4 linked regions of the Diceros bicornis minor genome follow. The protein of the gene in region 3 binds, or shares a complex with, the protein of the main gene of each other region. Links are inferred from orthologs where the notes say so. Each region holds a gene or a part of one and is shown on either strand. Other genes may lie near its edges.

What was found.
Region 1: POLR3E (region 3) and POLR3K share a complex: the UniProt entries of both Homo sapiens proteins name them as parts of the RNA polymerase III complex. The link is inferred for Diceros bicornis minor from reciprocal best matches to the Homo sapiens genes POLR3E and POLR3K.
Region 2: POLR3E (region 3) and POLR3D share a complex: the UniProt entries of both Homo sapiens proteins name them as parts of the RNA polymerase III complex. The link is inferred for Diceros bicornis minor from reciprocal best matches to the Homo sapiens genes POLR3E and POLR3D.
Region 4: POLR3E (region 3) and POLR3F share a complex: the UniProt entries of both Homo sapiens proteins name them as parts of the RNA polymerase III complex. The link is inferred for Diceros bicornis minor from reciprocal best matches to the Homo sapiens genes POLR3E and POLR3F.

The regions. Positions count from the first base shown.
Region 1 is NC_080765.1:48,215,262-48,223,209, forward strand, and holds the start of POLR3K (DNA-directed RNA polymerase III subunit RPC10), read left to right. Parts: upstream 1-4,943; 5' UTR 4,944-4,958; coding exon 4,959-5,069; intron 5,070-6,255; coding exon 6,256-6,343; intron 6,344-7,652; coding exon 7,653-7,780; 3' UTR 7,781-7,948. Other genes in the region: RHBDF1 (inactive rhomboid protein 1), read left to right, coding at 1-17, 89-189, 314-467, 646-1,065; SNRNP25 (U11/U12 small nuclear ribonucleoprotein 25 kDa protein), read right to left, coding at 2,177-2,234, 2,710-2,784, 3,306-3,411, 3,647-3,737, 4,552-4,593. UniProt on the Homo sapiens protein: Core component of RNA polymerase III (Pol III) which synthesizes small non-coding RNAs using the four ribonucleoside triphosphates as substrates. Can mediate Pol I proofreading of the nascent RNA transcript.
Region 2 is NC_080750.1:71,627,146-71,634,614, forward strand, and holds the start of POLR3D (DNA-directed RNA polymerase III subunit RPC4), read right to left. Parts: upstream 3,022-7,469; 5' UTR 2,933-3,021; intron 2,710-2,932; 5' UTR 2,705-2,709; coding exon 2,540-2,704; intron 1,547-2,539; coding exon 1,503-1,546; intron 881-1,502; coding exon 729-880; intron 574-728; coding exon 449-573; intron 1-448. UniProt on the Homo sapiens protein: DNA-dependent RNA polymerase catalyzes the transcription of DNA into RNA using the four ribonucleoside triphosphates as substrates.
Region 3 is NC_080765.1:31,057,309-31,064,167, forward strand, and holds the start of POLR3E (DNA-directed RNA polymerase III subunit RPC5), read left to right. Parts: upstream 1-3,842; 5' UTR 3,843-4,576; coding exon 4,577-4,646; intron 4,647-6,859. UniProt on the Homo sapiens protein: DNA-dependent RNA polymerase catalyzes the transcription of DNA into RNA using the four ribonucleoside triphosphates as substrates.
Region 4 is NC_080758.1:45,144,218-45,151,095, reverse strand, and holds the start of POLR3F (DNA-directed RNA polymerase III subunit RPC6), read right to left. Parts: upstream 3,013-6,878; 5' UTR 2,737-3,012; coding exon 2,675-2,736; intron 1,606-2,674; coding exon 1,488-1,605; intron 1-1,487. Other genes in the region: DZANK1 (double zinc ribbon and ankyrin repeat-containing protein 1), read left to right, coding at 4,846-4,954. UniProt on the Homo sapiens protein: DNA-dependent RNA polymerase catalyzes the transcription of DNA into RNA using the four ribonucleoside triphosphates as substrates.

The sequences.
Region 1 (7,948 bases), about 17 Mb from region 3:
CCACGCTCTGCTCTCAGGTAGGCCTCCAGGGTGTGTCCCTCCCGCTCTCCCGCAGCTGTGGCGGGCACTGACAGGCCACTCTGCACAGGTGCACTGCATGGATGACGTGTGCGGGCTCCTGCCCTTCCTTAACCCCGAGGTGCCCGACCAGTTCTACCGCCTGTGGCTGTCCCTCTTCCTGCACGCTGGGCAAGTGACACCTTGTGGGCCGAGCAGGGATGGGTGGAGTGGACGGTTTCAGGGACCCCAAGAGTGGCTAGCCGGGGGTGGTGGAGGGGCGGCCTTCCCTGCTGAGTGCGCACTCCCCCAACAGAATCCTGCACTGCCTGGTGTCCGTCTGCTTCCAGATGACTGTCCTGCGGGACCTGGAGAAACTGGCAGGCTGGCATCGCATAGCCATCATCTACCTGCTGAGTGGCGTCACCGGTAACCTGGCCAGTGCCATCTTCCTGCCGTACCGGGCAGAGGTAAAGCTGCCCCCAGGGTGGGGAGCCCCGTATGCACCTACTGCCCAGCCTAGGAGCCTCTCCATTGGGCTCCTCAGTCCTGATGTCTCTGGGCCACGAGAACTGGGACGGGGACAAGGTTCTGGGTCTGAAGGGGCCTGCTCAGCCCCACCAGCTCACAGATGCCCACTGCCCCCAGGTGGGCCCAGCCGGCTCGCAGTTCGGCATCCTGGCCTGCCTCTTCGTGGAGCTCTTCCAGAGCTGGCAGATCCTGGCCCGGCCCTGGCGCGCCTTCTTCAAGCTGTTGGCCGTGGTGCTCTTCCTCTTCGCCTTCGGGCTGCTGCCCTGGATCGACAACTTTGCACACATCTCCGGCTTCGTCAGTGGCCTCTTCCTCTCCTTTGCCTTCCTGCCCTACATCAGCTTCGGCAGGTTTGACCTGTACCGCAAGCGCTGCCAGATCATCGTCTTCCAGCTGGTTTTCCTGGGCCTCCTGGCTGGCCTGGTGGTCCTCTTCTATTTCTACCCCGTCCGCTGCGAGTGGTGTGAGTTCCTCACCTGCATCCCCTTCACTGACAAGTTCTGTGAGAAGTACGAGCTGGACGCTCAGCTCCACTGAGCTGGCTGGGGCACTGGGGCCACGTGCTCCAGCAGGCTGGAGCCTCACAGGTCGTGGGCCTCCGCCTGCGCATCGTGGGGGCCTGTTCCTGGACACAGCTCTCTGTGCCTTGGTCACTGCTGTTGAACCTCGCGCACTTCTGGGCATTTATTACACTACTTCCCCTGGTTACCTGCTAACTAGTCTCTTGACGACCACCCCATGTGGCCAATAAATGGACCGGGAGCGTTTTAGCTGCCACTAACGTGACCAAGAGCTGCCTCCTCCTTTCTAGTTTCCGGCTGGGGGTTATGGAGGGAGATCCCACTCACAGTTCCCCAGAACAGGGCACTAAGTGTCAAATACACCTCCCCATAAAGTCCCTCAGCCAGGGGAACCCCCCTTGTGCCGCTTCCTCAAAGTAACTGGCAGGCGACAATGGGACAGGGCCCCGTGGATGCAATTTCCCCACACACCGAGAAGTGCCCCCACCCCAACCCTCCCTGCCCGGCCAGCAGCTCCCACTGCAGTCCCAGGCTGCCTCCCTTTCCAGGAGCCAGTGACAGCCCTGCTGCAGGTGAGCCCTGCACGAGGCCGGGCGGGGGGGGGCCCTCCACAGCTGTGCTCTTGGCCGCGGGCCTGTTTCCCCACAAGCAGCGTCAGAAAGCCCCCACTCTGCTACTTCCTCTTGCTGTCCCAATGCAGGAGCAGGGTCGTGTGGTGTGGGGTGTGGCATCTGAGAGCTCGGGCCTCGCCACCACCGTTCTCCGCCCTGGCTCCCCTCTGTGATGGGGCAGTGCCAGTTCCTCCTGCCCCAGGTACTGTGGCTTTTGGACTTTTTAAACTAAGAAACAAACAGATTTATTCTGTACACAGGGCCAGGCCCACAGCCCTGTGGGATTGGCCACGTGGTCAGGGTGTTTCGGCCCAGGGAGGTCAAGCTCAGGCCATGAGCACTGGCTCACCCGGTCCTAGTCCCGAGAGCCCAGGGTTCATGCTGACAGTTCCAGTTGGGCAGCTGGGGTGAGGCCACTTCGACACTCTTCTGTGAGAAAGGGACAGTGGCTCCAGACTTCTTCCTGCTGGGGAAGAGCTCAGCCACCAGCACACAGAGTCGTCCTTGTCTGGAGGTTCACTTTTGCCTCAGCTTTTTGATGAAGGACACCTCATCCCGATTCCGGATACCATAACTGAAAGAGAAGAAAAGCTGTCAGCTGTCTGATCCACAGAGGGGACGTTTGTGACCCCTCCCCTGAAGCCTGTGAGGGACCAAGAAAGAAGAGGTGGGAAGCATGTGGCATCCAGGAAGGCAAGGAGGTGGTAGTGGCTGTCCTTCCACAGACCCACACTGTACCAGCGGGCAGCCTTTCAACTCCATGGACACCCTTATCTCCCTCCTGCTGGCTCTGCAGCCCTGAACCGCCACTGTGAGAAGCCGAGGCCCCTCACCCCTGCTCTCCCTCTCCTTCTGCTGGCAGGGAGGCCCCGGAAGCTCCCTGCAGGAGGGTGTCAGTCCAGCCAGGGACTCTCCTTGTCTCACACACTCCCCAGGGACTGATTTATGATCCCTCCTTCCTGAGGGGCCCAGGCTTCTGGCCGAGCATGTGGAACTACAGGCAACAGTCCAGATGCCTCCCTGCAGCTCAGGATGTGGCCTGAACTCACTCTCGGAGCTTCTTCCTGTCCTCTGTGAGCTTCTCTCCTGCAGAGATCAGATGGTACGTCCTCCACACGTAGGACCTGCAAGATGGGGACTCAGGTAAGCCGTGAGCAGGGTGAGCTGGACAGCTGGGAGGCCAAAGCTGTGTGTGAGAAAGCCTCCAGGCGCTCGGCTCTGTAGGGACCAGGGCAGCCACAAGGGGGCACTGCTCTCAAAACGCTGTGTGGGGTGCCTGGCAGCCAAACATTCTGCTAATGAAACGGGAGGACTGACAGCACCCAGGTGAGGAGGGGTGGGGCTGCTGACAGCTGCACCATCCACAGCTAGGGAGACCACTTCCAAACACACTGGAAACGCCCCAGGTGTCCCCAAGTGAAGACCCACCCAGCTGCCTGTGCAGTGTGATATGGATGAGGAGCATCTGAGGCAGGACTCCCAGGCCCAGGAGCACCCACCCGCCCAACGGCTCGGGGGGAGCCCATCGCTCCAGTTGGTACACTGTAGTAGAGCCAGGTGGTTAAGAGCGCACATCCGGCAGGTGTGCATGTGGAGGCCCACATCAGCCCCCAGGAGGGCTGCAGGGACCCGCTGCTCCACTCACCAGCTGATGTGCTGAATGCCTCCTTCACGCTCCTGCCTGAGCTGCACGTATCTCTGGATGGCCTTCTTCAGATCCAGCACCGTGGCGTTCTGTACGACAACCACGGCTGCAACCGGGGGACACAAACGGGAAAAGATCCACAGTGGGAACACAGCTACAGCCTCAGATGACAGGAGAGGACTCAGAGGCCCGACTAAGGCTGAAATCCGGGCAGGGTGGGCTTGCGGCTGCTCCAACACCCCCCGGGCATGGCCCTTGCGTTTCCCACTGAGCAGCCCTGCTAACCTCTTGCCCCTGTGAAGCTCAGACGGCGCTGCCCGGAGGGAGGGGGCGGCACTTACGCATGACTTCTCCGTCCATCTTGCACACTCGGACTGTCATTGCTTGGCCGTACTCCAGTGCTATCTGGGAACTGACCTCTTCCAGAGTAACCTGGAAAAGACCAAGGGTGGATGGGGGAGCCCTGGCTCTCTACCGCCCCGAACAACAACCAAGAAAAACAAGCTGACAGTGTCCAAAAAGTGGGGCCACGCTTTACAAATACAAGAAAGGGACAAGGTTCTTACACGTTTCCCCACTTGTCACTCCACTCTCATGTTCCATCCACACTTTCTGTTTAATGCCTAAAGTGGACAGAGGCTCGGGAGGACGCAGCATAGACACAGACCAGGGGAACGAACCAACGTGAGGATCCACCCCGGGATCCTCTACCCAGAGGCTGGACAGTCCAGTATGAGAGCCCTGGATCGCCAGGATCCAGGCCAGGGCCTCGGGACAAGGCTGAGGCAGGTGTGCAGAATTTACCGGGGCGCCAAAAACATGGTAACGATAAACATTTCAGTGCAACTTTCAAGGAAATAGAAGTTAACTTAAAAACCCCATGATGGGCAAAGTGACAAAGACTTAAACGCAGGACGGTGCCAAACCATATTGAAACTTGAGAAGAGAAACCAGTAATACTGGTCTGGTTTTCATTTACAATTTTATTACTTTGTTTACCATCGGCTTTCCTACACTACCTTTGAGTTTTAAAAATGTCGTAGTAAAACATCCCGTCACCTGACCCCATGTATACCGGGTTTTTGGCGCCCCTCTGAATTCTCGCTCGCCCCACCCTGGGCCCGGCCCGGGTTAAGACCCCCCGCTGACGCCCAGAGGCGCCTTCCTGAGGCCTCCGCGCCGCAGCCCCAGCGGCACGTCGGGGGGCTGTCCACGCCCCGCCGCCCGCCCCCCGGCCCGCGCGCACCTGGATCGGGAGGTCGCAGAGCAGCGGGTCCTGCACCACCATGGCAAGACCCTCCTGGAACACGTCCACCGCCTCGGAGTGCGGCAGCGCCTCCTCTTCGTCCTCATCTTCCTCCGGCCCCGCCGCCGCCACCTCCTCCTCCAGGGCGCCCCGCCGCCGCCGCACCCGCCCGCACCGCGGGTCAGCGCGACGGAGGGGCGCGCGCGGGGACCGCAACCACAGCCCAGCCCGCAGCGTCCAGGGACCAGGCGGCCTGCCGCAGTGCTCGCTGGGAGCGCGAAATCGGCGCGTCCATTGGCGGGCCGAGGGGCGGGGCGGCCGCCAGGACCAATGAGAGCTCGAGGCGGGCCTGCGTCGGCGGGGCGCGGCGCGGGCGTCTGCTGGGAGCCGGCGGCTGGGCAGCCGCCATGCTGCTCTTCTGCCCGGGTTGCGGGAACGGGCTGATCGTGGAGGAGGGGCAGCGCTGTCACCGCTTCGCCTGCAATACCTGCCCCTACGTGCACAACGTCACCCGCAAGGTGCGCCCGCCGGCGTCCCCTGCGTCCTCCCTGCTCGCCCCGGGGTACCGTCGGGACCTCCCCCGGGCTCCCCGCGCTGTGTCCGCGGCAACGGCCGCAGTGACCTTGTGACCGTGAGTCGGATCAGGGCCGTCCTGTGCTCCGAGACCCGCGGCGGGTGCCCAGCGCGCCGGGGGGAAAGCTGAGGTTCTCCCGGGACCCCCAGCCTGCTCCTCTGATTTCGCGTCCTAATGCGTCCTCTTGACCCCCAGCGCCGCACGGAGGATCCCCCTCGTGCACGGGCACCGCCGTCAGGGCCTTTGCGCGTGTTTTCTGCCCCGTTCACCCTTCCCCGTGTCTTTAGTTAAATGATTACTTAAAATTGCAATCTCTCTCCGTATTTTATCCTCCTTCCCTGTTTTGTTTTTGCCATAGGCGTCATTGCGTTGTAATATAGTTTATATTTATGGGCGTTGTTTATTAATACTGGGACATAAACGGTAGGAAGGCAGGATTTTTCTGTCTCGTTTCCTCATGTTTTAGTCTGAACAATAGAATGGGACCTAGAATGTTCAGGACGAATGAAGCACAGTGTATTATTTATGCTTGTTATTTTCACTTGACAGTACACCTTTTTAGAAGTAGAGCACGTTGGTGATACCTCATTCTTAATGTTTGCATACCACTCCATGGGTCAGCTGCGAGGTGGAAGTTTAGAGTTTGAAAATATGGCAAGAGTGAACTCTTATGTAACCCTGAAATTTCAAGGATGTCGGGGAAAACTTGGGCAAGAAGCCAAGTGTGACCTGCTCTGAAAGCTCTCTGCCTCGGGGGGCGCTGGGCCACCCGGCCAAGTGGTGCTCTTTGACTTCAGTTGTATTTGTCTCTCTCATCTGGGGTTATCAAGTATCTTAGAGGTGTGGGGGAGGAGGAGGGTCACACCTAAGCCAATGTTTTCTTCCTGCTCTGGTGCTTCATCCAGCCCTGGCAGAGATCTTCTCTGACTGTCTCTTCTCTTGGGATCATCCCAATCGTGGATCCTCTAAATTCCAGTGGAGCGTCCTGCTCTGTGATAGCAGGAACTTTGTTTTCGTTCAGTATCGCTCCAGTCTGTGCTGAAGGAAGGAAGTGTGGGGAGACACTTGAGGTCGATATAGTTTGGTGTCCCAGGTTTGTGCTGTTCACTCACTCAGAGGCTGTTTGTTAGGTAACAAGTCGGAAGTACCCGAAGCTGAAGGAAGTGGATGATGTGCTTGGTGGAGCAGCTGCCTGGGAGAATGTCGACTCTACTGCAGGTGAGAGGGAAAATTTTTCTGTTACTGAGCTTTTTTTAAATATGAGGCTGCTGACTGTGCCACTCCACGTCAGGATCCGTGATATACTTAGATGAAGTGGGCTTCTAAAAATAAAAAGTGTGTTTGTTTTCTTTTTTAATAATTTATTGGTTACACACACAGTCTTGGCACAAGCCTTGAGTCATGCAGGCCTGAGTTAGAGCCTTGGGGTGACCTCGATGGGTGTCCCTTGACTTCTCTGGGGCTAATCTATACTCACAGATTATAAGAGCATAAAGTGAGTTAATACAGTGTTTGGCATATAACGGGTACTCAACAGGTGGTAACTATGATGATAGCAACAATGACAGGAGTAGTAAAAATCAGAGTCTAAGGAAGAAATTTGGTTTTTTTGTTCTAGCATAGATTTTTAAAGAGTTAATACCAGGGAACGTTAAACTGCAGTCTCAGTAAAATAAGTGTTTATCTCAAGTCTTGATTCGTTTCTGTTAGAGACAGATGTGACCAAGGAAGGAAGAGGAGAGCCCTAGATACAACTTGTACTGAGAGGAGAAGAGCTAACTCGTGATTAATGCTGTCTTTTTCCCTCATAGAAGAATATCCAAATCTGCTATGTTAAAAATTTAGGTTTGGCAGAATTTGTCATTAAAAGATGAATTATGTACCTAATATTGAAAATGTTGTTTGAGACTGTTTGAAGTTGTTTACCTCAAGAGCAGGGTCAGGTTCTCAAAGTGAAATCACTTTGAAAGTAAAGGTGTGCCTTGGGGCACTCTGAAAAGGTGTGGATGTGTGGAGGGATCTTGATAAGAACAGTCTGAGAAACTCCTGCCAGAATGGATTCCTAAATACAAGGGGAAGCGGATTGGTCATCTGTCGGGAGCTCCTCTGAGAAGACAAGAGGGCGTGTGCATTGCCCAGGTGAAGGAGATGCACTTATTAGGGGCATCTGCAGGGCATGGATACTGTAATGCATATCGCGCCATAAGTCACCTTTCGTGTTATGTTTCTAACCAGTCTTCAATCAGATTTGAGAAGAAAAGTGGGCCCCAGGGAGGGTAGGAGGAGTGTTTTCAAGGTCACAGTTCTCCTCTATTCTCTCAGTGTGAGAGCATAGTGAGAAGGATACCACTGTTTGTGGCCTTAAATTTTGGTACAAGGTATCCTGGGCAAGGGATGCCAGATGAGCAAGGGGGCGGGGTCTTTGCCCCCTTTCAAGTAACACCTGCTTCTAATAGATCTGTTGGTCACAAGCATCCTTTTTTTTTTTTTTTAATGTGGGTCAATTGTTTGCTTTTCTCGTTGCCAGAGCCATGTCCCAAATGTGAGCATCCTCGTGCCTATTTCATGCAGCTTCAGACCCGCTCTGCAGACGAGCCAATGACCACCTTCTACAAGTGCTGCAATGCTCAGTGTGGACACCGCTGGAGGGACTAGGGCCAAACTGGTCCAGCTGCATCAGTGTCTGCTTACCCTGTTGCAGGGTGGATTCCTATCCAAGAGTGTGAACTGCGTGTCCTGAGGGTCTTTGCTGGTGTGGGGGAAAGCTACCCCTTTCAGGATGGCTGGCCAGGATGTCAGGAGATGCAGCCCGTCTGCCAGGCA
Region 2 (7,469 bases), on a different chromosome or scaffold from region 3:
AGGGGTCACACAGCCTGGCCAGCATGCACATGTACCTGGATTGCAGTCCACCTTAGCCCTTTTTTTGTGCGTGAGGAAGATCAGCCCTGAGCTGACATCTAATGCCAATCCTCCTCTTTTTGCCGAGGAAGATTGGCCCTGGGCTAACATCCGTGCCCATCTTCCTCTACTTTATATGTGACGCTGCCACAGCATGGCTTGACAAGCGGTGCATCGGTGTGCACCTGGGATCCGAACCTGTGAACCCTAGGGCTGCCAAAGCAAAGCGCACGCACTTAACTGCTGCACACCGGGCTGGCCCGCATCTTAGCCCTTTCTAACCGAAGCTTCCTGCTGCTTACCAGGCTTCCAGGACATCAGAGAGCTCTTCCTCCTGCGACCCTGGCTCCCTGAAGCCCTTTTTCACAGCCACAAAGAAGCCCCCTCCCCCCAGCCTGCTGGTACCTACATCATCCTTCTCCAGCATGCGCAAGATCTGTTTTGTTTCTTCATCCGTCTCCCTCTTCTCTTTTTTGATGTTGATGATATGAGAGGGCCCCATGTCCGACACATCCACTGTCTTATCCCAGTTCCCTGTGGGAGATCACCCAGTTCACCAGGGGTAAGGAAGAGGCCAACAGCAAGGAAAACTAAACTGGGAGCAGGGGAATTCTGCCCTTGCCCTTTTCTTGGACAGTCTGAACTGAAATCCACCATTCCTTCCTCCCAGAGCCCTGGCAGCTTTGTACCCTTTTTCTTCATCATTTCAGCTGGGCCCTGCTCAAAGATAGAGTGGGACTGGATCACTTCTGGGCGCCCCCGGCCCCGGCCATGCCCCTCTCGCTGTCGGTCTCTCTCTCTTTCACGCTTCTCCTTCTTGATGGTTACTTCTTCCTTGGGCCTGGAAAAGAGAATGGATTAAGAAAAACCACTCAGTTACCCTGCCTCAGAGAAGTGGTTTTACTCTCCCACACCACTGCACTTGAGTGGAGAGTTTATGCCCCAATAACTACATCATGAGAAGCAGAATCCAATCCTAAATCTAGCACCTGTTTCACTTCCTTGATGGGGCAGATCTCTTTCAGTTTGCTTTACTTTACCTTCTTGTTTGAGAATACATATTAGAACTATAACTCAAAAGTTGAATTATAGAGACTGTCCCCAAATGCGGATTTTTTGGTATTGACTGAAAGCAGGAAGGCTGTGATGCAAAAGAACTTAAGGGAAAACATGATACACCTTTGTCTAAACTAGTGGTTCTCAACTCTGGCTGTAAAAGATATTCACTTTGTCTCATTGCAACTAAGTTAAATCACAATTTATAGGGATGGACTCCCAGGCATCAGTATTTTTGTAAAGCTTGCACATTAGAATTATCTGGTAGCCTAGGTTGAAAATCACTAGTGATAAGAACTAAATACACAAATTTAAATTTCTGAGGCACATACCTAGTTATTTCCCCAAAGGCCCAAATTCAGAGCAAGTAAATAAAGGGTGAGTATTCAGAAGACCTGGCTACTTACTCCTCCTTGATCTTCCGACTGATGATATTCGGGGTGAAGGTTTTCTGAAAGTAAAATACAGGAATCACTGATTTGGTAAGTTCTGATTTCAAAGTATAGAGGAAAAGAAAAACTCCCAAAGGCATCTTCTATGGACCAAGACCACCATGGCTCTCTTCTGCACATTCCACACCGTTGCCAAAGATTTACAGAGATAGACATGTGCTTGAAAAGGAGGAACGTCATGTCATGGTGGCAATGGAGTTACACACAGAAGCAAGGGGCACCAAAACCCATTTAAACTAACAGCCTCAGCTTCTGTCCTCTGAAAGGAGAGCCCTCAGGACTTCTAAAAGCAAAGTAACTTATCTAGTCTCACCTCCTGTTTTCAAACTGCTATAGAGACCAGTCAGTATCATAGGCAAAGATCTCTAGCAGCAAGGCTCAAGTAGGGAAGACAGATCTGCCAGCACCCGCAGACAGGGTTAGACTGCCACCAGAATTCCCCAAGGCAGAGTTAAGCCTTTCAAAACTGGCTGAGCTACACTTCTGTCATTCCCTACCCCCTTTCAGGGCCACCCTTTACATCTACAGTCGTCAACATAACAGGAGAAGACACAGAGCCTCTAATGCCACGCCTAGGAATCACCATACTCTAGGACAGCGGTTGGCACACTGGGATCCATAGCGAATTCAGAACTCTCTAAATCTGCAGGCAAAATGTATTATGCCACCGAGGCTTACATAGGTTTTAATGGTGTCCAAAACACACACAAAAAGTAAATAAAGACTGCTCATGTTGCTTTTAAACTAATTAGGATTCTCTGCCCTTCAGCCATCTCCGAGAACCATGTCAACATCTTGTACCCAGTATCTAAACTTAAAGGTAGGTCAGGCTCCCAGAATTTGTAGGCGGCATCTGGCGACGAGATTCGTGGGGCCCAACACCACGCCTGGCACGCGGTAGGCCCTCCATGAAAGTCCATGAACATTATTTGGACCCCGGGGGCCTGGAACTCAAGGTAGTCGGGTTTCTTTTGAAAGGTGCCGTCGGGTACCTTTTTGACTCCCCCGAGGGTGAGGTCCCTGGAGCGGATGGAGGGAAGGCGGCCCGGGCTGAGGGGAGGCGCCGGCCGCCGCCCGATAAGCCCCCGGGCCCCCGAGAGGAGGGGTCGCGGCCCTCCCGGAGCGCTGGGCTCGCCCGCGGCGTTTCCTTCTGACATCTTGCCTGGAAGAGAGGGGGGAAAGGGGCCATGGAGTCACTCGAGGGGGCGGCCACGCGGACCCAGGGCGGAACCGCACCCACATCGCCTCCCGCCCCCCGTCAGTGCGTCCCTCCCGCAGCGTCCCTGCTCCTCCCCTCCCACGTGGCGAGACTCCTCGGACCTCCCCGGCCAGAGCGCTTGGCTCGCTCTCCCCAGGCCCCCGGCCAGAAAGCAGCAGGGACGCACCCGGGCTGCGGTCCGCACCACGCGCGCCCAGACTTCACCTCCAACGCGGCCCGCAGCCGGACCTCGGCCCCGGCGCCAGGCGGAAGTCTGCGTGGCAGGGTCCGAGCGCCGCCATCTTGCCGCCGGGCGGAAGTGAGGTCGGGGGGCGGGGCCGGGCCACAGTATTTATCCGGCGGCGCCGCGCGCCCCTCTGCCTTCTCTTCCCGGTTCTTCCCGGAGTCGGGAAAAGCTGGGTTGAGAGGGCGAAAAAAGAAGCGGGCGCTGTCTAGGTTCCGCCACGGTGCAGACCCCGGAGGGCTTGGCCCGGGCCCGGGGCCGGGGATGGAGGCGACCAGCTCAGAGTCTAGCGGCGTTTGCCCCCACCCCTCCGACGCAATGCGGGGATTCTCTGCGGCGGAGCCGCAGATCAGTGGGGTCGCGGCTCCGCGTGGGGCGAGAAGTGGGGGCGGAGAGCAAGACCCGACTCAGAGTAGGGGGAACTGGGCCGGGCCGAGCCGCGGCTGCGGGCTCGATGGTGACCTTGGAGTGGTCACCGCAGCTCTGGGCGGCGGCTTCGCCCTCGCTGGGGGTCTCTTCCCTGGGCCCTTGGGGGCGTCCTGCGGTCGGCTGTGGGCGCAGCGTCGGGTGCCCAGTGATACCCGCCCTGGGCTCATGACTGCAGGCCTTGGTGCGCTCTTGGTCCAAGCTTGGAACCAGAAAAACGAAGTTTGCTTTACTGCGAGAGGAATTTAAAGAACTTTTATCGTGACTCTGACATTTGTAATTTAACATAAAGAATGTTCTTTACTGTTAGTCTCCCCACCCTCCAAGCCATGTGAAAACCACGTTAACAACATGAGGGAAAGTTCGAGGGAAGGAAAACATTTCCGCTACAATTCCATCCACATAGAATACTACTGTTAAAACTTGTGTGATATACTGCAGTCCCCTTCACAGAGCTATCATATTGTACCGCAATTTTGAATTCCGTCCTTTCAAATAACATTTCTTTGTCGCTGCATCAAACGAGTGCGTAGTGCTCGAGTGGCTACGTCATGACACTTAGATTGTTTCTTTCCAGTTGTAGTGAACATCTGGTGCATTTAACGTTTTTTCTTCTTTTGGGTTATATTTCTAGGACAGATTTCCAGATTTGTGATAACTGGACAAAAGAAGACATACTTTTTTTTTAAGTAAATTTTTTATTTTGATATTATTATGGATACACACACAGTTGGGAGAAATAATGCAGAGATCCCAAATACCCTTTACTCAGTTTCTCCCAATAGTAACATATTGCAAAACTCTAGTGCAATATCACAGCCAGAATATTAACATTGATACAGTCAAAAAGCAAGACATTTCCATCACTACAAGGATCCCTCTAGATGACCTTTTACAGCCACACCTCCCTCTCACTCACCCCTGGCAACCACTAATCTGTTCTTCATTTTTATACTTTCCTATTTCAAAAGTGGAAATCATTCAAAAGTGGAATCATACAGTATACGACTTCTTGGGATTGCTTTTTTCAGTCAGCATAATTCCCTGGAGATGATCCAAGTTGTTGCGTGTATCCATAGTTTGTTCCTTTTATTGCTGAATATCCGTGGTTTGTTTATCAGTTCACCCTTGAAGGACGTCTGGGTTGTTTTCAGTTTGGGGCTGTTACTAATGAAGCCGCTATAAACATACATATACAGGTTTTTGTGTAAACATAAATTTTCATTTCTCTGGAATAAATGCCCGCAAGTGCAATTGTTGGGTCAAATGGTGGTTGTATGCTTAGTTTTATAAGAAACTGCCAAACTGTTTTCCACAGTAGCTGTACTGTTCTGAACATGCACTTTTATGGTTCTTCATCCATATTGCTGAGTTGCTTTCAGAAAGAGATGTGCTAACATGCATCAACACTAATAGATATGAATGGTTGTAGTAGATAAGAAGATATATGTGTGTGTATAATATTTTGCCACTTCCTTCTGGGTACTGGCTCTTAAAATTTTAAACGTTTTTGCCAATTTAATAATATATTAATATTTTGTTATGTTGGTTTCTGATCAGACTTTTTTCAACTTCTTTTCTCCATATTGGTTTTATGATAACCAAACCTAACCAAAGAAAAATCCTTCCTGTCCCCTATAGAGCTACACAGAGCAGCCCTTGGATCAAAGATGAAATTGCTTTGATTTCATTCTCTGGGCTTTGAAGTCCACCAGCCTTTTAGCAGCTCCTAGGTTTTCGCTTTGTTTTTTTTTTTTTTTACAAGATACTTATCCATTACAGAAAACCTGGAAAATTTTAAAAATCACCCAGAAGAAAATAAAATCATCTGTTATTATCCCATCAACTGTTGCATATACTTGAAGTTGTTTTTCTATGCATGTAGATTTTTGAAAATTAACGTATTTTACATATGGTTATATAATCTTGTTTTCTCTTAACACTATACTGTAAACATTTTTCTGAGTTATCAAGTATGCTTCTCAATTATGACTGTTAATGGCTATACAGTACTCCACATTGTTGTCTTGCACCATAATTTATTTAACCAGTTTCCTTCCCTCAATGCTTATTGGATTTCCACAGCATTTTTTACCCCAAAAGGACAAGAGAAGAGAAGACTTAAATGAAGTCTTCCACCTTTAACATTTTGGGGCTTACTTCCTAACGATTATTATAATTTCCCTTTAAGAGTATTCTCCAGCTTTGCCTCTAACTAGGCTGATATACTTTCAGCACCTTTCTGCTTTCTTTCTTTCTTTGCTCCTGTACCTCCCACTTCATTTTCTCCCGAAGAGTGGTCATTCTTTTATCTAGCCTCAAAAGAAACTTGTAAATCATTACTAGCTGAACTCCATGTAATCACATCTGTGATTCTAGCAGATCTTAATTTGTTATTAATAACGTTTTATTGCATTTTATTTTTACATATTTCATAGTAAAGACAATAGTTTCTTTATTTTCTGATAACATAATGAAACTAATAATCAAACTCTTAAGAACAAATATAGTTTTTGGGTCTAAATGCAGTTTGCAGAAGGTATAAACAGATTCTGTCAAAAGCCTGTTCCTGTGAATTCTTAATGGGCATTGGAAATACTAAATGAATAAGGAACCGTTTTGTAATATGTATCAGTAGAATAAATGGAATGTGTTATATGAGAATGCTACCTAAGTTCAAGCTATTACATGTTCTCTACGAGTAATTTGTCCTAATTTTTTTTGCATTGCTTTGCAGATCATTTGTTTGCTGGTTCCTCTTCATCTCCTTGACCTCTGAACATTGCAGAGCTCTGGGATTCAGTCTTCAGAACTCTTCCCTTTTTCCAGTTTCTTTGTTTCAAACCATGTGCTGTATGCTGATGACGACTCAATGCTTATCTCAGTCTGGACCTCTCTGAACTCCAGATGTGTACCTCTGCCTATCCCACACTTCCACTTGGATGTCTGCTAGGCGTCTCAAAGCTAGGTCTACACCTAAACTTTTGATCTTCCTCCTCAAACTACTCCAAAGTATTCCCCATCTCAGTAAACAGCAACGCCATCTCTCTAGGTGCTCAGGTCAAAATTTTGCAGCTGTTCTTGGCTCCTCTCTTTTTCTCATGGGATACATCTAATATGTCAGCTCTTCCAGATGTATCCAGACTCTCACCACTTCTCACCACCACTCTCACTCACATCCCACCTTGGTCCAGGCCACCATCATTTTTTGCTGTGAATATTATAATACCCTCCTAACTGGCCTGCCTGCTTCCACCTGGGCCCGCTCAGTCTAGTCTCAACATAGCATAATTAACATATTTCACATCAGGTCATGTCTCTGCTTTAAACTTCCCAGGGGCTTCTCATTTCAGAGTAAAAGCCAGAGGCTTCAGACTGGCCTACACAGACCTGCATAATCTGTCCCTCCACTCACTGACTCTCCGTCCTCGACTCCTACCATGTTCCCTTCACTCACTCTGCTCCAGCTGCACGGGTCCCCTTGCTGTTTCTGGAACAATCTGGCATGCTCCTGCTTGAGGGCCTCTGCACTTGCTACCTGGAATACTCTTCCTCCACGTAATTTTCATGGCTCTCTCCCTCCCTTCAGTCAACTTTTCTATCCTTTGAGTTGTATTTACATATGTCTTCTCCATAGGTTCTTCTGTATGCAGCTCTCTTAATAGAGTAAGGGTGGCAAATACTGAGTGAGTGGAGGGAAGCCTTTCTAGCATGGCAGCAGTTTGTGGATTCACTATGTCTCCGTCTTATCCCCAGGATCTTGCCATGCAGTGCCCCGTGGTATTCCATAGGCCCTACATAATGCTGTTACACTGCAGGTATGACTTAGTGACTGTTCCAGTACCAGGGATCCATCGCGTTAGTCCCATGTCTCATTTCACTTGTGATTCTCTCTTCATTTCTCAATTTTCTTCCCTTAAAGTTTCTTTTGCCCCTCCAACATTTCATTAGTGTGTCTCTTATAGTTTTTCAGAGTCCTTAAATATAACTCAGCATTTTTCCATGTCTCTTAATTTTAACAATTTTAATTGTTGTTTTTTTTAATAATTTTATG
Region 3 (6,859 bases):
AAATATATTGAAGACACACACACAAATTCATGTATAGATGTGAAAGTATAAGAGATAGATTGGAAGGATACACATCAAATGCATGATAACAGTTATAGCCAGGGAGGATGTTTGGGAAGGGGGATTTATTTTCATTTGTAATGGTTTAATTATTTTTAAATGGATTTTTAAAAGGACAACATATTCATACCATTACCTGTGTAACTTTTAACAAAACGTATATACGTTAAGAAAAGGATTTGAAGTGAAATGACACAATATTAGGTGGTGGGAATATGGATGATTATTTTTTCTTTGTTTTTCAGTATTTTTAAATATCCATATACATCAACATGGATAGATATTTAAAATATATAGTCGGGTAAAAAATAGTCAATTGCAGATCAATACTAAGCATGATAATATTTATGTAAAAACCCACACCAATAAAAACAAAACCTCTATTTTCTATGGATGCATATACCCATGCCAATATATCCATATAAATTCACAGCAAAAGATCCAGAAGGATATATACCAAGCTGATGATAATGGTTACTTCTATTGAGGGAACTTAGGATGGGGGTCAAAGGTAGAAGAGCATTTGTGCGTTGTCTGCAAAGTTTTAATATTTTGCAAAATTTCACGTATTATTTGTGTAACTAAAAATTAAAACATAGTTTTTCAGAAAAACTGCCGAGACCAGCTCCCCTGGTTTGTCCTTGGGATCCCCTGGTGCGGGTTACTTCCAGAATCCATCATTTCTGGGAAGATACATAACCCCCAGTACAGTGGGTTAACCTGAGGTCTCCGAGGTAAACACCCGACTCAGAATACAGACTCTTCAACTGCTCTTCGCTTTAAAACCTATTTGGAACAAGCCTGGGTCTAAATATTGGAGCAAACATTTTTTAAAAAATACATGGCATGTTCTAAATAGTTCTATCAAGATCAAATAAAACATATTAAACAAAGAAACTCCAGGAAAAAAATGCACTGCAAGCGCATGTAATGCCATTAAATAGACGCCTGGAAGACTGCTTCGTCAGCTAGGTAGCGTGGCCGAGCGGTCTAAGGCGCTGGATTAAGGCTCCAGTCTCTTCGGGGGCGTGGGTTCGAATCCCACCGCTGCCAGTGCTAGCTTCTTTTGTCGCTGTTGCCTTGGCACCCGGCTGTTCTCGGCTCTGTTTTGCCGGTGCATGGGCGCCCCCTGCCGGGCCGGGCTGGCGGGCCCCATGAATGGAGCGGCGGAGGGGGCGGACCGCGAGAGCCGGGGCGGCGCATTGTGGGTAAAAGGAAGCGCGAGGGCCGGCGCGGCTCCCCCCACGTGTCCGCCGGAGTTTCTCCAGCAGCAACATGGCCGCTGCCTGAGAGGAGAGCCGGGCCGCCGCCGCCTCTGCAGCCCGCGGGTACCTGGGCCGTTGCCGCCGCCCGCGCGCGCGGGCCCCGCGGAGAGGTGAGTGCCGAGTTGACAGCCCCCGCCCGGGCTTGAGCCGGGCCGCACTCACGAGGTGGGCCCGGGCTGGGCTGCCGAGTAGGCCGGGAGGCCCGCGCCGCGCCGTGCCCAGGGACTGGGGGCCTCCGGGGCCGGGCGGGAAGGATGGGCAGCCTGCCCCAGTAGACCCCGGCCGGCCGCGGGCTCCGACCTGGGCCCGGCCCGGGAGTCGTGGGGGCCGCAGCGGAGGCTGCCGGCGGTCGTGACTCAGGGTCCAGCCGCCGTGCCCCGCCCGGCCCAGATGGGCCTCCTGCAGGAGCACCTGTCCCAAGGCAGCCGGCGTCCAGCTGGCGTGGAGACTTGTGGCGATGGCTGCGTGGTGGGCGTGAGAAGGGGGCCTGCCCACCCGCGAGGGAGGCGAAACCCATTGGACAATGTGGCTCGGGGCCGGCGGCCCGCCCTGATGGGCAGGTGGAGGGTACCCGAGCCTGCCTGGGCCCCCTCCTCGCCGCTGAACCAGATCAGCCTCCGCCCGGCCGGGCCCGGGATTCCTGATTCATTTAATGAAGTCACCATTCAGTGATCATTGGGAGCCAACACTGCCGCGGATACGACCCTAACCATTTGGTCGGAGGAGGGGTCAGTAAGCACGTCAAGTAAAGCAGTCAATAAACAAGGTCGTTCTGTTATGTTAGCTTTAGAATCGTTGGTCTTGGGGGCAGGAAGAGGAGATCTTAGCAGACGCCACGGTTTCTTCATCTGTGAAATGGGGATAGTAGAATTTCCTACCTCATAGGGTTGTGGTGAGGGCTAAATCGGCTAAGACAGGAGAAGCTCCAGCTTGCAGCATTTGATTTCTGGCTAAATCTCATACCCTCTTAGAGTAAAAGAAAATATGTTGCCAAGTAATAACAAATCCTCCCACAGGTTACATTTATCATCGTGGTTAATCCTCACCACAGTCCTCTGGGGGTCGATACTTTTATTATCCCCTTTTTAGGGATGAAAACAGTGAAGGATAACCAGCATCAGACAGTTCCGAGTGGGCCACAGATGGTGGGTAGCAGACAGGGGATTTGAACCTTTGCAGTTCTGCTCTGGAGTCCAGGCTTTTACCCACTATACCATACTGCCTTTTATTAGGAACATGTGCAGCATAGTGGTTAAGAATGAGAATAAGGATCTTTGACGGCTAGACTGGAGAATCTGGCTTGCCATTCTCTAGCACTGTGACCTTGGGCAAGCTACTTACTCTTTGAACTTTAGTTTCCTCGTTTCTTAATTAGGGATGATAAATCTTGATTTATAGGGCTATTGAGAAGATTTAATGAGAATGTATGTGAAATCCATAGAGAAGGATCTGACACTCACTTAAGGGTTAATTAGTTCTTCTTGTCCCCTAGGCCAAGTCTTCCTTTAACAGATGTGGAAACTGAGGTGACCCAGCGAGGGGAAATGCCTTGTCCAAGGGGTACACAGCCAATTAGAAGCCAGGCCTTGAGACCATTTGCCCTGGGGACTTCTCCCCTTAACTCCGTTGTATTTTGTCCTCTCAGACCTCCCTCACTCCCTCCAACAGCTGGAGATCCGTTTGGAGTTGCCTCTGCTTTTCTGATTGACTGACAGGTTAGATTCCTGGGGGCAGCATGGATGCACCCAACTGTGGCATCCCCTGCTCTGGACCCCTCCTTAGCTCCACCTGGTGTCCTTGTCTCCTTTCCATTTGTTGAGCAGCTCCCTGTTGAGGGAAGTTTCCTGTGCCTAGGGCCATGGAGCCGCTGCCACAGAGTAGCCTTGTGGCCACAGGACCCCTGTTGAGGCCAAGGTGGTCATTGCTATCAGAAGAGCTTGGCTCATGGTGGCTGGGAGGCCTGCTCTGGCCTGCGCCACAGCCCCTGTCTGTTCTTAAGTGTCCATGTGGCCCAAACTATGAGGCCCCCGGTCTCTGGATGGGGCTGAGTTAGGCTCACTGTGTTGAGGTTCTGTGACCTCCTGATTTTAGACACTCATTCACTCAGTTATTCTTTGCACTATATTGAGTGTCTGCTTCATGCCAGGCACTGTTCTAGGTATGGGAACATAGTGTGAGTTTGAAAAAAAAAGAGATGATAATCCCCATAACAACTTGATGAAGTAAGAGTAGTTATCTCCACTTTATAGTGAGGAAACTGAAGCACCGAGAGACGCTCACAGAGCTTATTTCTAGTGCAGAAGATAGACCACACATAAGCAAACAGACTAGATAGTTTCAGATTGTGATAAGAACCACGAAGGAAATAAAATCAGGAGATGTGGTAGTGATTGGGAAGGGGTTGTGAGTGGGCGGGGGCTCTTTAAGATGGGGTGATCAAGGAATCTGTCTCCTCCTGGAGGGGGTGGTGGTGATAGCTAATGAAAAGGAGCCAGCCTTGAAAAGACCTGGGGAAAATAGATGTTGTGCAAAGGTCCTGAGGCAGGCTGGGGCTTCGCCTGTTGGAGGCCCAGCAAGTGGCCACCTGGCCAAGTGGATGGTGAGGTAAAGCGGGGCAAGATCATGTAGGGCCTTGGGGCCATGGAAGGGAGTTTGGATTTTATTGTATATGACAGTTGAAAGGTTTTGAGCAGGGGCATGATGTGATTTACTTTTTTACAAGAACAACTCTTGGCTGTTTCTGAAAGGATTGGAGGTGGGAGAGGGGCTGCAGAGAGACTTGTGGTGCAGTACCTTTCAAATTGCAGTTTGAGATTTATTAGTGGGATGTGAAATCAGCTTGGGATTGTAACCAGCATTTTTAATTTTAACGAGCAAGAGTAGAAAACGTCGCTGCATCACATGTAGTAGAGACAGTCATGGCTGTGTGAAACCTTGTTTTAGTTACATAATTGTTGTATGTTCTGGGTTGCTTATGTGAAATGGACTTCTTGCTGTGGGTCTTAGGCTGAAAACTTTGGAAGCCACTGAGTTGGCTGATATTGGGTGGGAGGATGAAGCGAGGTGTTAACCCCTGCCTTAACCCAATCAGATGTACTATCCAGAGGGAGGGGCTCCAGCTCAAGGTACCTCATCCTCCCTGAGCGCCTCCGTGACTGGGAGAGGCCAGCAGAGCACAAGAGCCGGAATGCCTGTCTCTGGGAGAATAGTTGCATCTTGGGAACCTCCCAGGCCGCACCCTCTTAGTACATATGATCTGTTCCCTGGCTCACCTGGAAGGCCCCAGTCTCTCAGTTGTGCACAGAGCCAGCCGTAGAGAAGGTAGGTGCTTGACGTACATCTGTGGTCTTGGCAGGCAGTGCAGAAGGGGTGGGGTCTTGGGCTCTCCCATCCGTCACCTTCTGTCTGGGGCTTAGAAGCCACCTAAAACTGTCCATTTGGGGCTTCTAATTTCACCCAGTCTTCCATCTCCTTACTGTCGCTGTGGCCTGCTTCCCTCTAGTCTGTCTTTTTATCCCCTCCAGATTTTCCTCTACTCAGAATCCTTTGGTAGCTCCCTATTAAATAGCATTCCTGTGATTCATATTTTCAGACAACAAATATGTGGTGAGTGCCTGCTGTGTGCTAGGCACTGGGGGTACAGCAAGGGACCAAATAGATGCTAATCTCTGCCTTCCTGTAGGCACTTCCAACTTAGTGGCAGTGGGGCTGGGGACAGATAATAAACACAGAGCTATAAACGGTCACATGGTGATAGGTGCTATGGAGAAAGCCAGAGCAGGGAAGGGAGTTGGTGGGGCGGGGTGCAGTTTTGAGTTAGTTGGACAGGGAAGGTCTTAGCCATGAGGTGACATTTGAGCAAAAACCGGGAAGAGATGGGCCGGCCCCGTGGCTTAGCGGTTAAGTGCGCGCACACTCTGCTGCTGGTGGCCGGGGTTCGGATCCCGGGCGCGTACCAATGCACCGCTTCTCCGGCCATGCTGAGGCCGCATCCCACATACAGCAACTAGAAGGATGTGCAGCTGTGACATACAAGTATGTACTAGGGCTTTGGGGGGAAAAATAAATAAATAAATAAAATTATTAAAAAAAAAACAAAAAAAAACCAGAAAGAGGAGGAGGGATCCTGAGGTGACCGGAGGGTAGACCAGTTACAGAGGCCCAGAGGTGGGGTGGGAGGGGGGAGGAGAGAAGAGGGAAGGAGGCCCGTGGGAGATGAGGTCTGAGAGGTAAAGGGGCTGGGGTGGGGGTGGGTCGTAAAGACTTTGGCTTTTATTCAGAGTGTGATGGGAGGGAGGCCTTTGAAGATGGAGGAGTGACGTGATCTGAGGTGGCTTTCCAAAGGATCACTGGCTGTGGGGTTGAGCCAAGATCGTAGGGGGCAAGGGTGGAAGCAGGGAGACCAGTTAGGAGGCTGTTGCTGTAATGCAGGTAAGATATGGAGCTGGCTGGTCTGGGGCGGTGGTGGTGAGGGGGCCAGATTCCAGACATCCTCTGAAGAGAGAACTGACGGGATTTGCTGGTGTGGGATGAGAGGAGGAGAAGCATCAAGGATGAGGCCAGCATTTCAGCCTGAGCAGTGTGAGTTTGGAACGTGTATCTGGAGTAAGTGAGGTGATTTCAGGTGGTGGTGCACGGGCAGGGGGCTTAGATGACATTGAATGCCACCCATGGTGAAGGAATATTTAAATATTAAATAGCTCAAATGTTAAGTAGATAAGATAAAAGTCATGATGGTCTTACTCGAAAGTAGAGGTCTGGGGACTGCTGAGATATTAGGGTGCCCAGGCGCCTTTCTAAGGAAGGGTCAGCCCAGCTGAATTAGTTCCCCTCCGCCATGGAGACCTGCAGCCTTCCCTCCTCCAGGTACTTGAGTGCTTCCTGTCACCTGAAATCCCTCCTCCCCTCTGCTCTCGTGGCTTGTCCTAACCCTTCAAGGCCCAGCCCAAACGCCCCGCCTGACCCCTTCCCTTCCCTCTTCTGAACTCCCCTACCTGTACCTGCTGCCTGAAGTCGGATGGCCTGGCTTTGAAGTCCAGCGGGTCCTCTTACTTGCTGTGTGGCTTTGGGTAGGACACGTAAAGTGCCTGCGAGTTCCAGTCTCCTCATTATAAAGTGGGGACAATCAAGCCACTCACAGGGTTGTGTGGGACACATTAGAGAAAAGTATGTAAAGAGGGTCATTTTCAGACACACACACACACGTGCGCATACACGTGCACACACGCACACACACACGCACGCACACACACACGCACACACGTGCACACACGCACACACACACACAGAGGAGAAGCATCTCACTCTGGGTTGGGCTTCAGGTCAGCTTGAAAATCAAATACCAGAGACAGAGACAGCCTGGAAAGCCGTGGGACCATCTGCTCGTCCTCTTGGACGCGGGAGTCTTTAAAGCTTCCCCATGGCCCCCAGTTAGTTCTCAAGCGTTTTCATTGTGGCTGTGGACCCGCCAGCCTCCTTCCTGCCTGGCGGTGAATTCTTCTTTGTGAGTGGTCAGAAAACACTTAAAACCAGTC
Region 4 (6,878 bases), on a different chromosome or scaffold from region 3:
TGCTCAGATCTGTATTTAAGACAGGATGGCTGCTCTGAGGCAGACGGAGCCAGGAAAGTCAGTTAGGATGCACTGTAATAGGCCAGGTAAAAGCCAAGAGTCTGAATACATGCAAGGGCAACAGGAATCGAAATGGGGGGGTGGGGACAAATTTGACAATTGTTTAAGAGCTAAAATCAGCAACACTTTGTGATTTATTAACAATTACTTCTTGCTTAAAATTCTTCAACAGCTCCACCACTTCCTACAGCCAACAGGACTGGCAGAAGGCGGGGCTGCAGAGGTGGTGAAAGAGGGAGGTGCCGAGGATCATTTTGACAGAAAGGAAAGGGCTGAAAGGGCGGTCCGAAGACAAAAAACATCTTCCATTGCTACATCCTTCCAGTATCCCTCCCTCTACCCTTCCTGGAGCTGAAGACCTTCACCACAGTGAACTGACTAGAAATCACCAACATTCCTTTTTCCCTTGGGCTAAAACACAGGTCGGCAACCTAGCCCCCTGTGTTTTTGTAAATCAGGTTTTACTGGAAAACAGCCATGCCCATGTGTTTACGTGTGGTCCACAGCTACTTCTTGCCAAGTTGAGTAGTTGTGACAGAAACCATATGGTCGGTAAACCCGAAAAAATGTACTATCTGGCACTTTATAGAAAAAGTTTGCCAACCTCTGTGCTAGAAGCTTAAAGGGAGTGGTTTAACAGAAGGTTCACCTGTCCTCAAATCTCCATATCAGAGCCCTTAGAAATCCAACAAAGCTTAAAAAGCAAATCAGTCTTCAGATGAGTCCTTGGTCCTTTACCTAATCGCTACTACAACCAGACTGAAATGCTCTCAGAATGTGGGGATTTTGATGATGAGGGAAAGGAAAGAGAAATAGGTAGATCTAGCGCACGGAGTACCAATAGGTGGTATGTGTTTGGACAGTTGAAGGAGAATGACATTAGGGCCCCAGGAGAGCAGAAGAGGTAAGAGCAGGTAGAGGGCGTCACTGAAAAACCCCAATGCAGTGTCACTGGGAGCTGAGCCCACCTCCTCCCAGAGGCCCAGCACTGTTGACATTCAACCAGACTCATTCTTGCCTCCTGAAATGCTCAGAGTGAGAATGTGGAGAGTAATATCCTAATGAACTGGCTCTGTGATGACTGTCAGAAAAATCAGGAGGGTAATATTTCATGGGGAATGGCCCAACACTAGCAGTAGGAAGCAAACAAGGTAAGAACAGACTATGCTTATGTGTCCTTATGTTTCTTAATGACAGATTAATAAATACATCAGTTAAAGCAAAATACATTTATTTCATTCATCTTGTAAAACGATGTGTAATTATTTCTTCTTTCCTCAGTTTAGGCAATCTGAGCTGTTTCCCAGTTTGCAGTCTTATCAAAGTCACAACCTAACACACTTTTGAATGGTTTCATGACTATATAATAGAAGTAATGACAATCATAACATATAAATAATTACGTGAACTAGTTGGATTCACCTTACCATGGACAACAGTCTATTGATGGCCACTGCCCGTTGCTGGGCTTCTATGTGAGGCATTTCATTCTGAATTACTTGGTCTGTGATTCCGTGAGGGAACTGCTGACATAATTCTATAATTCTAAGAACAAAGGCATTAATGATATTATTCATGTTTTCACCTATTTCAAGAGGCAGTGGGAGAAAAATACAAGCAAAACAGTTTGAAATTGTGCCTTTTCTTCACATTTGGCAGATAATCTGGGTTTCTATGATGGTTCTGAATCAAAGCATATTAGAAATTGAGGAAGATGCTTTCAAAATACACATTTACATTATTATTGTTATTTAAGGAAACTATTTCTTTTCCTCACCCATAGGAACTTCAAATTAGAACAAAGTCAAATGAAAACAGAAAAAAATATTAAAACCGAGGCTTCAATTTTCTCAGAAGGAGCAAGTATGACAAAGTTAAGACACAGTGCCTTGGATAACCGTAAGTCTGTAAGCAGGAGGCGAATCAGACACTTCTGATGGGAAGCCCAAGATTTGTTACGACAATTCATCACAGTTGGGGCCTGTTTTCGGAATTATCCCTACCAAACAAAAATAAGCCCGAATCTTCACCTTGTCATAAGATCATCATATGTCTTATTCCTAACAGTTTGAGAAAGTTGGGGTCTTCTAAAACTATGTAGTAACGTAAAAATTGCAGTACACGGATAGAGCATATAAAATTGGGAGAGCCTTTAGGTGCCCTAAAATCTTGACTTAAATACTGCATCGAAACCATTTGGCTTATGATGCTTCGTAATCGCAAACTGCACCCTAACTTTGCTCAAACGTTCTGTCGTGGGAGTTCCCTTAGCTACAAGACCGATCCTGGATCAGAACACGTATCCACAGGTACTACAGAAAAAACGCCAAGTCCTCTCTGAGCGTCCATCACCTTAATGTAGGAAGGAAGTGCATCACCACAACTTTTCGAACAGCCTCGGGGCAAGGTCAGCTACACAAGGTTGCAAACCGTCAAATCCGTTTCGAACTTCTTAAGAGTTCTGCTCTCTGAGGGTGGAGGTGGGCGGCAAATCCCGCACTCCCTCTCCTGCGCGCTCACGGAACTTGCTCTGGTATCTACCCAGGCTCCCAAGAGAATGGGTCCGGCTGCGGGGGCTCCCGAGCCGGGAACCGAGCCTCACTCAGTGGTTTACCTGTTTTCTATTTCCACCGGATCCGCGTCGGGCGGCTGCACCTTCACCTTCACCTCAGCCATGAGGGCGCAGTTCCCGGTCCCTGGGGGAGGAGAGGCAGGGAGCGGTCGGAGAGCCAGCGGGAGAACCCGGGAACCAGCGAAGACAGCACCCGGCCCGGGCAACGGGCCTTCTTCCTCGTGTCGCAGCCGGTCCTTCCTTGTCTGTCGGCTTGAGGTGGCCAAGCCGCGCCTGCTTCGCCTCCCTTGCCCGCGCCGCTAACATCTTTTTCTTGTTTTCCACAATGTCAGTGCTTTTCAGATGAACGAGCATGGCTTTCCCATTCTGAGTTGGGACTCCACCTCTAAGCACTCTCCAGCCTCTGTGAAGGCATATTCCCGGATGCCTACGGTGAAGCCTTAGGAAAGGAGCCCTGGCCAAGCGGCAGGGGCGGAGCTGGTTGCTAGGAAGCGGGTTTCCACCAATCACCTGCCCCGCAGTGGGCGGGGCGCGGCTCGCAGCGTCTGTGGTAACCCGGACTGCGATGCAGGAAAAGGCCAGAGGCGGTGAGAGGTGCGTTCCCTACCTGCGGGCGCCGGAGGTACCCCGGGGGTCCCTATCCGGGTTCTGGTGGCCGGCGGAGGAAGAGGAGGAGGGCCTCCTTTAGTCCAGCCGAAAGGGAACGGGCGTCCCTAGCTGCCCCTGGTGGGCGGGGACGGGAACGACACGGGGTTCCGGATCCCGGCGGTGAGGGGTAGTCTGGATGGAGGGAGTTGAGACGTGGGCGGTGCTGTTGATCCCACTCTGTCGTTTGGGCGTAGCCGATCCGCCTACTTCTTGATCCCCGTCGCTTGGGGCCACTGACCGCAGAAGCCTCCGAAGGGCAGCTCCTAGTGGCCGCGCGAATTATTTATTCCTCAACTATTTTTAGTTTGAACTAATTTTTCAACTATTTTTATTTTAACTGCCTCTCACTTAAATGGAAGAATGAGGAAGGGCACCCCTTGAGCCCAGCCCCCGTTCTGTAGGAGCTATTACTCTACTATCAGTATCTGCAGTTGAAATTCTTGGCCTCCTGTCTGAAACTATTCAACCAGGCATTAAGTTCACTCCTTAAATTTAGTTATCCTACTTTTGGGAATACAGTCTGTGACAAAGTTCAAATCCCAAGATGTTCAGAGCAGCATTATTTAGAATTGCAACAGCCAAAACTAAAAAGAAACTAGTAATAGCCTAAGTCCCCAACCACAAATTGATAAGTAAATACGTGGAAAATTATAAATGATAGAGTGAGGTGCAAGAAGTACACTAAGAAAAGTTGAATGAATATTTAGAGTACAACTGAGTAAAACCTACACATCCATAATCATTGAAATTTGAAAAGGCCATACAGAGATGTAAATGGTTGCTGTATTAAGGTGAGGGTCGCTTTTTTCCCCCTGAATCCTTTATGTATTAAAAATTATGACCTCACCCCCCCCCCCCCCCGCCCCCTATCCCCAGGAGAAAGATCAATAAGGCCTCCATACCCGTACTTAATTATTTATAAATACAAAAATGGAGTGAGAGACTTTTGTGTTTGTTGCTCACTGTTTATATCGACGCCAACTTGCTGTCAGCTGAGGCATAATACTCGGCCATCCCTCTAGAGTTTCTTTGCAGCTTTGAAATGCAAGAACCACTTGGCCACAGCTGCAGGGCCTTGAACTTGGAGCTTTCCCAAAGGAGTTGGCTCTAAATTAACGTTTAATGCTACATACAGAGTTACTTCTGTTCCTCTTGTGTGATGACTTGCCCTGAAGCCAAGAGAGGTGGCACACTAATAAGAGGCAGGAAAGGGTGATAATGATCCAGAGGGAGCTCAGATCACATCGTTAGTGATGGTCTCTGTTCTGACACATTCATTTAATTTCCCATTTAAGATAATTCCGTTTCCCCATCCCGTTTATTCGTACTCTTTTCCCAGAAGTGAGGCAAGTATTTAGAGAATCAAAACCCCACACAAGACCTGAAACAATTATTTCAATTAAAAATTGAATAATATTTGTAGGTGGTGTATTAACAGTATTCTTTTTAGTTTTTGCTAGTTTTACTGTATTTAAATGAGGTGCTTCTCTTCAGCTTTTGTGTTCAAATATAGGTGCCCATTGGAATTTATTTTCATCCACTTTTTTTTAATGTAAGGAGGGAAAATGACTGCTGGTTCAGTGTGTGTCCCTCAGATCATACCACTGCGAGTGCCTCAGCCTGGAAAAGCCAACCATGAAATTGATAACAATACACTTTTGGAAATGAAATCGGGTAAGAATCAAATGTACTTGAAATCCTTTAAAATAATTTTACTGTACTCTTTATGTTCATCTGGTTGTTGATTTACCTCTTTGCGTGCTTTCTATGGTCAGGACCTTAGGAAGTTTGTAAAACTTCCAAAACTTGAAACAGTGTTGTACCTGGTGGTTGATAGAATGGTGTGTATTTAGATTACAGAGGTTAGCTTTGACCAGTGTTTCATTTGTATAGGTATATAGTTGCAGCAGTGCCTTGACTCACGTTAGCCAAGGTAAGATGTCCCCGTGCTTCCCCAAACTTTCCCAGGATTCTTCTTATTTTGCTGGGATAGTAAATTTGACTTAGAAACAAAGGCTTTCCAGTCAGACAGGTTGAGATTGAATCCTGGCTTTGAGAACTTCTAGTGACCTTCAATACTTAGCCTTTCTGAGTCTCAGTTTCCTCATTGTTAGACAGTAATAATAATATCTACCATTTAGAACCATTGTAAGGATTGAATGAGTTGATATTTTATGTGAGATGCACAGGGTCTGGCACATAGTAATGCCAAAACAAATCTTAACTATTATTACAGAAATAAAGCAGTGACTGTATTTCCTGGTAATGCTGGAATATATATATATGTATACACATTCATATATATATATATCTACATACGTATGTATACAAAAACATATAATTTTTTTTTAAATTTTATTTATTTATTTTTTTTTCCCTGAAGCCCCAGTAGATAGTTGTACGTCATAGTTGCACATCCTTCTAGTTGCTGTATGTGGGACGTGGCCTCAGCACGGCCGGAGAAGCGGTGCGTCGGTGCGCGCCCGGGATCCGAACCCGGGCCGCCGGCAGCGGAGTGTGTGCACTTAACCGCTAAGCCATGGGGCCGGCCCAAAAAAAACATATAATTAACATAAGGAGAAGGGAAAGTTTTATAGATAAAACATATGAACAAATACTTGTTTAAAAACCTTTGAGATTCCAATTAAATATTTCAATAACTGATATGTGTAAAAACTATTTATCTATATTTATGGTGGTGTCTGTACTTCCTAGACTGAGAGTTCCAACTAAGAATATGTTACGTTATGCTATATTTCCCTTTATCTTAAAAGCTAATATTTTTAAAAATTTTCAAGCCAAAATACTAATTTTAATAAATGTGGCCATAACTCTTAGAAGAAATTGGGTGATTATTGACAAATGATGATATAAATGATATGGTATCCAAATTCTCTAATATTTAAATTGTTTAGTAAATAAAGAGGTTCTACAATTCAATAACAAAAAGAGTAATAACCCAATAGAAAAATGGCAAAGGATGTGAAAGGCCATTTTATAGGAGAGGAAATATGAATGTTTTTTAAACATATGAGAATGTGCTTCTACCCACCCCTGTACGTGCTTCCTGAGCAGACCTTCTCTCCCACTTTATTTACTCCATTGCATTCAATCACCACTTGACAGAATGTATATACTTATTTGTTTGTATACTGTTTGTGTGTTCTTCCTAAAACGGAGGCTACGTGAGAGCAGGGACTTTGGTCACTGGAATATTCCCAGTGCCTAGAACAATGTCTGGCACATAATAGGTATTCAGTAAATATTTGTTGAGTGATTGAATGACTCTTACTCAAAATGCAAGAAATATGAGTTAAAACTACAAGACATTGTTTTTTTGTGTGTGTGTGTGTGAGGAGATCAGCCCTGTGCTAACATCCGCCAATCCTCCTCTTTTTTGCTGAGGAAGACGGCCCTGGGCTAACATCTGTGCCCATCTTCCTCCACTTTATATGGGACGCCGCCACAGCATGGCTTGCCAAGCAGTGTGTCGGTGTGCGCCCGGGATCCGAACCAGCGAACCCCGGGCCGCCGCAGCGGAGCGCGCGCACTTAACCGCTTGCGCCACTGGGCCGACCCCTGTTTTTTTGTTTTTTAC